3 linked regions of the Macaca fascicularis genome follow. The protein of the gene in region 2 interacts with the protein of the main gene of each other region in a biochemical or structural test. Links are inferred from orthologs where the notes say so. Each region holds a gene or a part of one and is shown on either strand. Other genes may lie near its edges.

Region 1 (2,628 bases), about 38 Mb from region 2:
CTTGAACCCAGGAGGCGGAGGATGCAGTGAGCCGAGACTGCACTACTGCACTCCAGCCTGGGTGGCAGAGTGACACCCCATCTCAAAAAAATAAATAAATAAAAAAAAAATAAAAGGATGCCCTTTTTTCTGGACAGAGGTAAGAGTTCATTAATCTCAAGGTTATCTATGACCCTAAAAAGGTGAAGAGCCACTGGAGTGGAGGGATGGAAAGGTTGTGAAAGGCTGTGCCTAAGGGTGTCAGATGAGTGTGCAGGTCTGGTAAGGTCTACCTGTTTGGTTGCAGCATGCTGCCGTTCCTGTTCCTGCTCCTGTCCTTGTGCCTTCAGCTCTTGCTCCATGTGCTGGATGTACCGAGCAAGGCAGTGGCAGTGGAAGTAGTGGTAACAGGGTGTTTTGGTAAAGGCCTCCTTCTCCTAGAGGGAAGGCAGATGTAGGGCACTAAGTCAGAGCTCTCTCACAGCCCTCATCTTGGTCCCAAGCAGAATGCCAGGTCCCAAGAGAGAAACCCACCTGGAAACCATAGAGGCAGATGACACACTGGCCATGAGGGATGTTGTTATCTGTGAGAATTTCCTTCCCTTTCTGAGGAGAGAAGACACTGATTAAACAGGGGGTTAGGGAGAAGAATGGTGAGCAAGGCCTGTCTACTACTCCTAGGAGTGACTGGCTGGACTTGGCTCCTACCAGGCCAGTTTGTTACCTTGTGTTTATGCATTTCTGTCTTGGTGATGCTCCCTCTGCTGGGAATCAATCCTTCTCCACGTCTCTGCCCCTCCCCCAAAATTTGATCTTCCTGGTTTCAAAATTCAACCTAATTGTTTTTCCTTTCATTAAGTCACTTTTAATATATCTTGGAGATGAAAATAATACACCTTGAGAGAAAAAAATGTTCAATTAAAACTCATCTTCTGGGAGGCCTTTCTTGATTAGTCCCCTTCAATATCATTCCCCCATGGGGCAATGAGTTTGTTCTAAGTCAGCTTTCAGAAAGCATGTCAAAGCATGGACAACCCGAATGGACAGAAAATTCACAAGGCATTGAGTTGGGCTGTGAACTATGCATTTGAATTGTTATTTGAACAGCTAATAGTGTACTCTGGAATTCCACAAAGTCCAAGGCTGCATTGTGGAGGCCTGACCTAGGACTGCTACAGTGGCCTATCAAACCCACTCTCTTTGACTCTCGGCCACCCACCTTCATTCTATTCTGAACATTTTTCTTAAAAATTTAAACTAGGAGAGGCTGGGCATGGTGGCTCATGCCTATAATCCCAGCACTTTGGGTGGCCAAGGCAGGTGGATTATCTGAAGTCAGGAGTTCAAGACTAGCCTGGCCAACAAGGAGAAACCCCAACTCTACTAAAAATACAAAATTAGCTAGGTGTGGTGGTACATGCCTGTAATCCTAGCTATTTGGGAGGCTGAGGCAGGAGAATCACTTGAACCTGGGAGGCAGAGGTTGCAGTGAGCTGAGATCACACCACTGCACTCCAGCCTGGATGACAGACTAAGACTGTCTCAAAAAATAAATAAATAAATAAAATAAAAATAAAAAATAAATAAACTAGAGGAAAATAAGACTGTACTTTATATTTTTAATCTCAAACAGCAGAAGTTTTCCGTGTATATTGGAGCTCCAGGTGTTGCTTCATGTGGGTTGTTTCACTAAGCAGTGTCTTTCGGGAAGTTTCTCAAATAGAAGAGTCTCATTTCTCTGGATTAATTTAGGTCTTACTTAATGATTCCAGATCTATTTAAGATTCTAGGCCCATGGTTTCCCTTTTACAGCTAGAAACTGCTCTAGCTCGAAGGAAAGAACATATCCCAGACTAGCGCACCTCTTACCTCAATGAGTTCATAGAGCATGGCTGCGCCCAGCCCGGCCTTGGCCACATGGCCCAGCGCTTGTAAGATCCTGGAGGAAGAGGGCAAACCACATATTAGGCCTGCCCATTTCCGTCACTGGGCAAAGCTGTAGCTGAGCTTTCCCTGTTTGACAGGTTCAACTTACGTGTGGATCTGTTCATCTGAAAGTCCTCGGGGATTTCGGATAGAGATCTGTGGCACCTCATGGGGATACTAGTGGGGGCAAATAACAAGTTACTGCTGAACTGATCCACCCCAGGGACTCTCCCCTTCCTCCCTTTGCTGCCACAGAGTAGGGGCTTCACCTCTGCTGGGACCTGAAGCACCAGAGTGAAGCAGACATACTGTGAATCCTGGTCCTCTGCAGTGGCAGGATGCAAAGTGATGTAGATCTCCCACGGTGAAGTTCTGCAGGTGGATCAAGTAGAAACGCAGATGTGACTGTGTAAGGACTTGGGGGCTGGGGAGGATGGGGTTGAGACAGTAAAGTGGGCAAAGAAAGTACATATTGGACTCTTTCTTTTGGGGTAGGATTAAAGGAATAGCTTTTGTCTACACAAGAGAAATATTATCTCTGAATCAAGGCTTACACTGTCTTAAGACCCAGATTCGGCATAGAACCTCTCCTCATTACTAGGGGGACTCCTGCCCACCGCTGGTTGAATACATACCTGCCATTTCCTTTAATCACCTGTAGTTCATCCAGATAGATGGACTCCAACACTTCAACTTCAGAGGGAAGGACCCTAGAGAGACAGG
Region 2 (3,287 bases):
CACTTCACAATTACAACTAGGAAGAAGAAATTTAACCTTCTAAAAACCTTACAATTTGGTATTTTACCAATTGAGAAATATCACATTGTACACTAACACAGTTCTAGTCTACCTTCAAGGCAGACAAAGATTTCTGTGTTCAACTGTGCCTCTGGCTGTATTTGCTGGCCACCTGCCATAGTAAGAATGGTAATACACACCACGAAAATTCAAGACCAGGATTAGAAGTAAAAAGTACACTAGCTACCACATCAAAGTTACCATCTAACAATACTGCCCAATGCTGAACAACATGTTCCATAAGATATTACCAGACGCATTTTGACTTAAGCATCATATTACCAAAATACAGCTCTATGTGTTTGAGACTAATGGGTTAAAATCCACTTTTGATTATTTACGGTCATTCTTTCAATAACAAAGGAAAAAATCTCTACACATTTAATAGGACTTTAAATGTTTTCAATTTAAGAATTGGTTTATTTGTGCTAGTCTTTAGTAATCTTCATAGACGCATTTTTATTTCATCAACAATCATCTCAGACACACCTTCTAACAAGACTGACGTAAAATATTACGACAGGAAACTATGCCTTCAGGAGCATGTTTATTGTGTTTGAGATGATACATCAGGTGCTCTCTGAGCTACAAAGGGTAAAAGGAAATCCTCTCATTACAAACTGACAAAGGTAAAAGGTAAAACATTTTTCACAACAGCATGAACCACATACTCAGAAATAGATCTGGGTTTAATACAAATGACATAATTCCTAGTCATCTACAGCTACTTTTATAACTTCATACAGATAATGAATTAGGCTAAAATGCACTATAATATTTGGTAGACTTCAGGACCAGTATCCTTAGTACATCACAAAATACATTTTGATATCCCAAAGAAGCAAGACTTGCAAGTAGGCGTTTTAAACATAACTAATCTACAGCTACAAAGTTCTACTCTTGATAGCATTTACCTTTTTGGGGAGTCTCCCAGGCTCCAAAGGATAAAAGCAGAGTAGAATCAGTATAACATATACACAGAAGTCCGTATTGTAAAGGCTATAAAGATTTGCAGCACAGTGAGAAGATGCCTTCTGCTCCTTCACACTGCATACAAATTATGTGAATTATGTTGCGTATCTCTTGGTCCACTGTCTGGCTATCCTGTCGTGTTCTGCTCTGTTGGTCAAATACTGAGTGGCTATGCTTCCAACCAGAGGATCCGCTGGAAAAGTGGAAAGAACATTAAAAGCTATTTTGTGGTATCTTCTTCAAGGTATAGTTCTAATATTCTATTAAAATGAAATGCTTACTTTTCCGCAGTATCTTCATATATAATAGCTAGATTTTCAAAAGAAAAAATTTAAAGTAACATGATCATATGTGTATTTTAATATTCAAGTTAGGAAAGCCCCCTTCAGCAAAACAACAACAACAACAACAACAACAACAAATTTTGAGCTATATACAAAAATAGTTAGATTTGACTTTTATGAAAGACACAGGTCTTTAATATACAAAAAACTATTTTATAATTTTGGCCTTTCATTCAACAATGGAAGTATACTAGGAGGTTATATTTCTGCTTATGAATAGTTCAAAAATGGCAAGTTTTAAGTAAAACCCCAGTCTTACGATACCATGCTATTTCAAATACAATGCTTCCTTCATTCTGTGCCTGATATGACTCTAATCACTATCTATATTTCCACTTGAAACCTTACTTGCCATTTTGTTTTAAGTAGAATTCTGAACTAGAGAGTGAACCTGATATAAATTTTTATCATAATGTTTAAAAAGAAAAAAATATGTACATATGGTACAATATTTGAACTGTACCAAACCATAGCCAGTAAAAAAAACTCTCTTCCTTCCTGACTCCAACTACTCAGAAGTTTCTTTCCCCGGCAAACAACTGTTACCCATTTACAACATTACTTTCCAGAGTTCTTAGATGCACTGACAAGCATTTAGAATATTATGTTGTATATATGTATTTTTTCCAGTGCCTTTTATACTTAATATATCTCGAAGATATTTCCCTATGAGTTCATATAGAGTCATATAAACATTCTTTTAAAAAGTTACATCAATTAATGGACATTGAGGTTGTTTCCAATACTCTAATAAATGATACCACAATGAATATCCATCTGTCTCTATCTATTGTATATGTATCTCGGCCAAGCACAAGGTAACAACAGTAACAGTTTTCAGTGACTTATCAAATATTTAGAAAAAGTAAGTCAACTTAAAAAAAAAATCACATAGCAAAACAAAATGTGTGAAATTTCAGGTCTAAACATCATTTTATCAAGTCAGCTACTCAAGTTTCTGAAGTTCACATGTGGCAGGCATTTTTTAAAGTTATGAATTACACACAAATGATTTTATCTCTGAGTTTATATAATCATAATCTAGTTCAATTCTCATTGGCTATCATTTTAATATTCATTACTACTACACCTAATATAACTAATTAATTCAAAAAGGAAGGGAGAACAAGAAGCCCTCTATTATTAAAGTAGCTGCTTAAAAGCCTATCGCAGAATGGAAGGAGCAGGAAAAGGAGGCACTGGTTTCAGAGACATTGGTTTACTCTTGGTAGAAGTAGTCTGTGCACCTAAACAGTTTTAAAAGTAAAGATTCCATTAGTGATGGTGACAAAATAATTATAGAGTGGTATGCCATTAACAAATTAAATGAAGGTATTGAGAAACTTCTGGCCTAGTCTACTTCAAATGGCACTGGTAATTTCCTTACAAACTATTTTACGGAGATCTTCCTATCAATAACATTTACCTCTCAATCTACATTTAAAGCTAACTAAAAAAAAAAAAAAAAAAAACGCACTGGTTTTTGTGTTAATAAAGATTTGCTTACCAGGGTTGCAGTCCGTCAAAAGGGAACAAATAGACAGCAAAACTTTTGAAATAGTCAAAGCGGGACTCCAGTTGTCTTTAAGGATGTCCAGACAGATGACTCCCTGACTGTTGATGTTGCAGTGATAAATTCTGGTGCGGAAAGTAACCTAAGCACAGTCACATTAAAAACAGAAGGAAAATGAATGCTATATTACCAACTAAAACACTAGAAAAAGATGAAGGGTAATATATCATAGAAGATACTAAATTATCTGACTGGAGCTAACCTTAGATTAGGTTTAATAACAGAATTAAATGGTTTTGACTCAGTTGAAATCTTTATTTTTACCCTGTATAGAAAGAACTAAAGTAAGGAATTGATCAGTTATACTTAAATAACTGATACAGTAATTCTATCTATGT
Region 3 (4,438 bases), on a different chromosome or scaffold from region 2:
CAAGTTTATGAAGAAAGTAAAGGAATGAAAGAATGGCTACCCCATAGACAGAGCAGTGCCAAGGGCTGCTGGTTGCCCATTTTTATGGTTATTTCTTCATGATATGCTAAACAAGTGGTGGATTATTCATGCCTCCCCTTTTTAGACGATATAGGGTAACTTACTGACGTTGCCATGGCATTCGTAAACTGTCATGGCACTGGTGGGAGTGTAGCAGTGAGGACAACCAGAGTTCACTCTCGTGGCCATCTTGGTTTTGGTGGGTTTTAGCCCACTTCTTTACGGCAAGCTGTTTTATCAGTAAGATCTTTATAACCTGTATCTTGTGCTAATCTCCTATCTCATCCTGTGACTTGGAATGCCTAACTGTCTAAGAATGTAGCCCAGTAGGTTGCTCAGCCTTATTTTACCCAGCCCCTACTCCAGATGAAGTTGCTCTGGTTCGAATGCCTCTGACATTTTGAAGTACAAAAGTTTTTAGCTTTGGTGAATGCAATTTATGTGTTTTTTTCCTTTGTTGCTTGTGCCTTTAGTTTCATGTCTAAGAAACTATTACCTAATTCAAGTTCATAAATATTTACTCCTACATTTTCTTCTAAGGGTTTTTTGGTTTTTTTTTTTTTTTTGAGAGGGAGTCTCGCTCTGTCGCCCAGGCTGGAGTGCAGTGGCGCAATCTCGGTTCACTGCAAGCTCCGCCTCCCGGGTTCATGCTGTTCTCCTGCCTCAGCCTCCCGAGTAGCTGGGACTACAGGCACCCACCACCACGCCCTGCTAATCTTTTGTATTTTTGGTAGAGACGGGGCTTTACCATGTTGGTCAGGCTGGTCTCTATCACCTGACCTCATGATCCGCCCTCCTCGGCCTCCCAAAGTGCTGAGATTACAGGCGTGAGCCACTGTGCCTGGCCTTCTAAAGATTTTATAGTTTTAGTTCTTACATTTAGGTCGTTGATCCATATTTAGTTAATTTTTGCATATGGTGTGAGGTAGGAAGCATATAATTTTAATTTCTGCTTAGCCTGATGATAATCATGTGACCCTTTGTAAGTTTTTGCACCTAAGTCTCAATTTCCTTATTTGTAAAGTGAGAATAACAAATGGTAGCTAAATCATAAGGTTACAGTGAAGATAGAAAATTTACGTAGAGCATTTATCACAGTGCTTGAAGCATCCTAACTGCTCAATAAATGCGGTCGGTGTTGCAGTTATAACATGAGCGATGAATGCGTGCTTCTGCAGTGGAGCTCCAGAAAGACGGGCAGCATTTCTGAGAAGGTAAACGGGAGGAAGCAGGCTAGCTTAGTCCACTTAGAGAAGCAGGTCTGGGATTGTTGTGAGAGTCTCTGCCCTAGGTAGACCACTGCCTCGTGATCACCTCTAGGGATTGGTAAAAATTGGAATTCTCGGGCCCCATCAGAACTACTGAAAACAGCCTCCTGTGAGCACTGGGCTCGCAGTGGTTGGAGTGACGGCGGTCGCGCCGGCAGCGCCGCCTTGGGCCTGCGGGAGGCGCCCGAGAGACAGGGGCGACCACGGCGGCTGCGCAGAGTCCTCTCTAGGCCGACTACCCCACCAGCGGGATCCGCTTGGCTCAGCTGACAGCTCCCGAGAACGGAAGAGGCGGTGCGCCGGTTGAGCAGGGAATTGCTAGGCCTGGTCGGCTGGCGGCGGTGAGTGGGCCCCGGGCAAGGGCGGAGGGCGGAACTTTGGAGCTTGGCACTGCCGGGTGGCCGGAAGATACGGTGGGGACAGCTCTCTGGGCGCGCGAGGCAGAAAAGGGGACCGGGCCAGGACTGTACAGTGGGCCTCAGTCGCTCAAACCCGGGACCGGGCGTCCGCAGCCCAGCTGGCCGGGACTCCCTTCCGGACGCTCCTGAGGAGGAAGAGAAAGGTGTGGGCCCTGCTTCTTTGGGAGGCCCCAGGCTGGCCAGCAGCTCACACGCCCGGATAGCGCCCTCTGATCCCAGCGCTGGGGCGGATAGCTAGCCTTGGACTTGCCCCTGTTTTGGGGTAGTCGCCCAAACGACTCCGCACGCCGGGTGGCGAGCTGAACCCAGACCAGGACACCCGAAGACCAAATGGATAGAATGAGAAGGAAATGGGGGTAGCAACCAGAATTGAGGTACTGGATTCCAAGTGACAGCTTCACAAGCTGAAATCTAGTAGGGTAGGTCATGAGGAACTGTTGAAACACTGCTTGGAGTAGAAGTTGCTAGCCCTGACTGCATATTGGAATCACCTGGAGAACTTGGACAACTACTGAGGCCTGAATTAATTGTTCTGGGTGTGGCCTGGGTATTCAGATTTTAAAAAACAGCTCCTTAGAAGATTCTAATGTGCAGTCAGATGGAGAACACTAACCTAAAACCATAAACTGCATAAATGAATCTCTCATCCCATTTGCAAATGTTTTAACAGGAAGAAACAAAAAGCTTAATTAGCACCATATATTCCCACCTAGTAAAATTGTTTAAGATTAAATAAGACAATGTGAAAGGACCTAATACTGTACGTAGTAGGTGCTCAATAAATGTAAATTGATTCTGAATCTCATTCTTATTGGGGAGTTACACATCCGAGAATCTGTAACTTTTTAATTATGGTTTTGTATATGGTATTTTTGCATATAATTTTAGGGTGTTGATAGGATTCTCCATAACCCATCTGAGACCATACTCCCTTTTCCCCTCACCCCAGTGAAGAAGCCTAGCTCTAAAGCGTTTAGAATAAAACTTAAAAGTTTCTGTTTGTGTATTCTTGTTTTGTTTAAGTATTTTTCTGTTATCAAAATTAACCATGAGTGCCACTGGTGGTATTAATTCATGAACAAGAGAGGAAAAACTGGAGGGGGATGGCAAATGAAGGAATACAAAAAGCAGAAGAGGAAAGGAGAAAAAACAAGAAACTGAAGAGGCTGTTTGTTATGGGGCATGGTGTCCTGTCCTCTCATATGACCTTGGTGTTCCTCCTTACCTCCTCCCATGGCTGAGGGCAGACAGATAAAAAGTCCTCAGTCATTGCTGGGCACATGCAAATACTCCTTTAACCACATGGCTCAGTCAGTCTGCCCTAGGAGAGTAACATGCACCTGTAGATTAGGATTGGCTGTACGTTAGGATATGTTTGACTTAAGTGGTGATCATGGAAATTCAGAATTTTAATTTGGAGAGGGTCCTAACACCATCTTTTGTATTTCTTTTCTGCAGATGGCAGGATTTTCATAGTATATGTAGTATGAGTTCCACATCTTGGCCTCTTATCCAGCTTCAGCAGTGTCAGCTCCACCAGTTAGAGAATAAATGGGATTTGCACGAACTCCACTCTGAGCTGAAATACAGACTGTGGTGTTAATATTCTTTTCTTCTGGTTGTTATTAACAGGTACTAACTGACCTCAAGTAGAACACGTAATTGTGTCTTTTAGGGAGGCAACTTAAGCAGAGCCATGAACTAACGTCTCCTAGAAAAAGTGTTTTTTGAAATGAAATCATTTTAAATTTCACAGTATGACCTTTTAGAATGTAAAAAAATCCTAACTTTTTAATTATGTACATTTTAATTAAAAATATTTTAGTTGTGAGGGAGGATATTTGCAAATGCAATTGTTGTTCAGTATTTTAATTGACAGAATGGTATTTTGTTTTATTAAAATGATTTTTGTAAATTCTCATTGCTTATTTTTTTCCACATTTAAATTATCTGAAATTGCTGTATCTTTCAGTTGACGCTATTTTAAAAACATTGATTCATACTTTATTTATTTTTATTTATTTATTTATTTATTTGAGACAGAGTCTCACTCTATAGCCCAGGCTGGAGTGCAGTGGCCGGATCTCAGCTCACTACAAGCTCCGCCTCCCAGGTTCACGCCATTCTCCTGCCTCAGCCTCCCGAGTAGCTGGGACTACAGGCGCCTGCCACCTCGCCCGGCTAGTTTTTTTTGTATTTTTTAGTAGAAACGGGGTTTCACCGTGTTAGCCAGGATGATCTCGATCTCTTGACCTCGTGATCCACCCGTCTTGGCCTCCCAAAGTGCTGGGATTACAGGCTTGAGCCACCGCGGCCGGCCCCATACTTTATTTTTTGAGACAAGGTCTTGCTCTGTCACCCAGGCTGGAGTGCAGTGATGCAGACATGGCTCACTGCAGCCTCAGCATCCAAGGCTCAAGCGATCCTCCTACCACAGTCTCCTAAGTAGCTGGGACTACAAGCACACACCACCATACCTGGCTAATTTTTTATAGAGACAGGATCTTGTATGTTGCCATGGCTGATCTCAAACTGCTGGCCTCAAGCGATCCTCCTGCCTTGGCCTCTCAAAGTGCTGGGATTACAGGCATGAACCTCCACACCCAGCCAGTTCATACTTTAATAGTAGCTAATTTCTTTCTTTCTTTCTCTTTCTTTTTCTTTCTTCCCTCCCTCCCTCCCTCCCTCCCT

Evidence for each region.
Region 1: the proteins of UBE2E3 (region 2) and RNF25 form a complex in vitro, tested with the Homo sapiens proteins (2 studies listed by BioGRID, with this or other methods). The link is inferred for Macaca fascicularis from reciprocal best matches to the Homo sapiens genes UBE2E3 and RNF25.
Region 3: the proteins of UBE2E3 (region 2) and RNF14 form a complex in vitro, tested with the Homo sapiens proteins (2 studies listed by BioGRID). The link is inferred for Macaca fascicularis from reciprocal best matches to the Homo sapiens genes UBE2E3 and RNF14.

What each region holds. Positions count from the first base shown.
Region 1 is NC_088386.1:114,596,491-114,599,118, forward strand, and holds part of RNF25 (E3 ubiquitin-protein ligase RNF25), read right to left. Parts: intron 2,616-2,628; coding exon 2,541-2,615; intron 2,278-2,540; coding exon 2,175-2,277; intron 2,083-2,174; coding exon 2,015-2,082; intron 1,919-2,014; coding exon 1,849-1,918; intron 586-1,848; coding exon 514-585; intron 417-513; coding exon 273-416; intron 1-272. UniProt on the Homo sapiens protein: E3 ubiquitin-protein ligase that plays a key role in the RNF14-RNF25 translation quality control pathway, a pathway that takes place when a ribosome has stalled during translation, and which promotes ubiquitination and degradation of translation factors on stalled ribosomes.
Region 2 is NC_088386.1:76,567,673-76,570,959, reverse strand, and holds the end of UBE2E3 (ubiquitin-conjugating enzyme E2 E3), read right to left. Parts: intron 3,032-3,287; coding exon 2,884-3,031; intron 1,226-2,883; coding exon 1,128-1,225; 3' UTR 591-1,127; downstream 1-590. UniProt on the Homo sapiens protein: Accepts ubiquitin from the E1 complex and catalyzes its covalent attachment to other proteins. In vitro catalyzes 'Lys-11'- and 'Lys-48'-, as well as 'Lys-63'-linked polyubiquitination.
Region 3 is NC_088380.1:148,455,128-148,459,565, forward strand, and holds the start of RNF14 (E3 ubiquitin-protein ligase RNF14), read left to right. Parts: upstream 1-1,606; 5' UTR 1,607-1,669; exon of another isoform or gene 1,670-2,166; intron 2,167-3,205; exon of another isoform or gene 3,206-3,379; intron 3,380-4,438. UniProt on the Homo sapiens protein: E3 ubiquitin-protein ligase that plays a key role in the RNF14-RNF25 translation quality control pathway, a pathway that takes place when a ribosome has stalled during translation, and which promotes ubiquitination and degradation of translation factors on stalled ribosomes.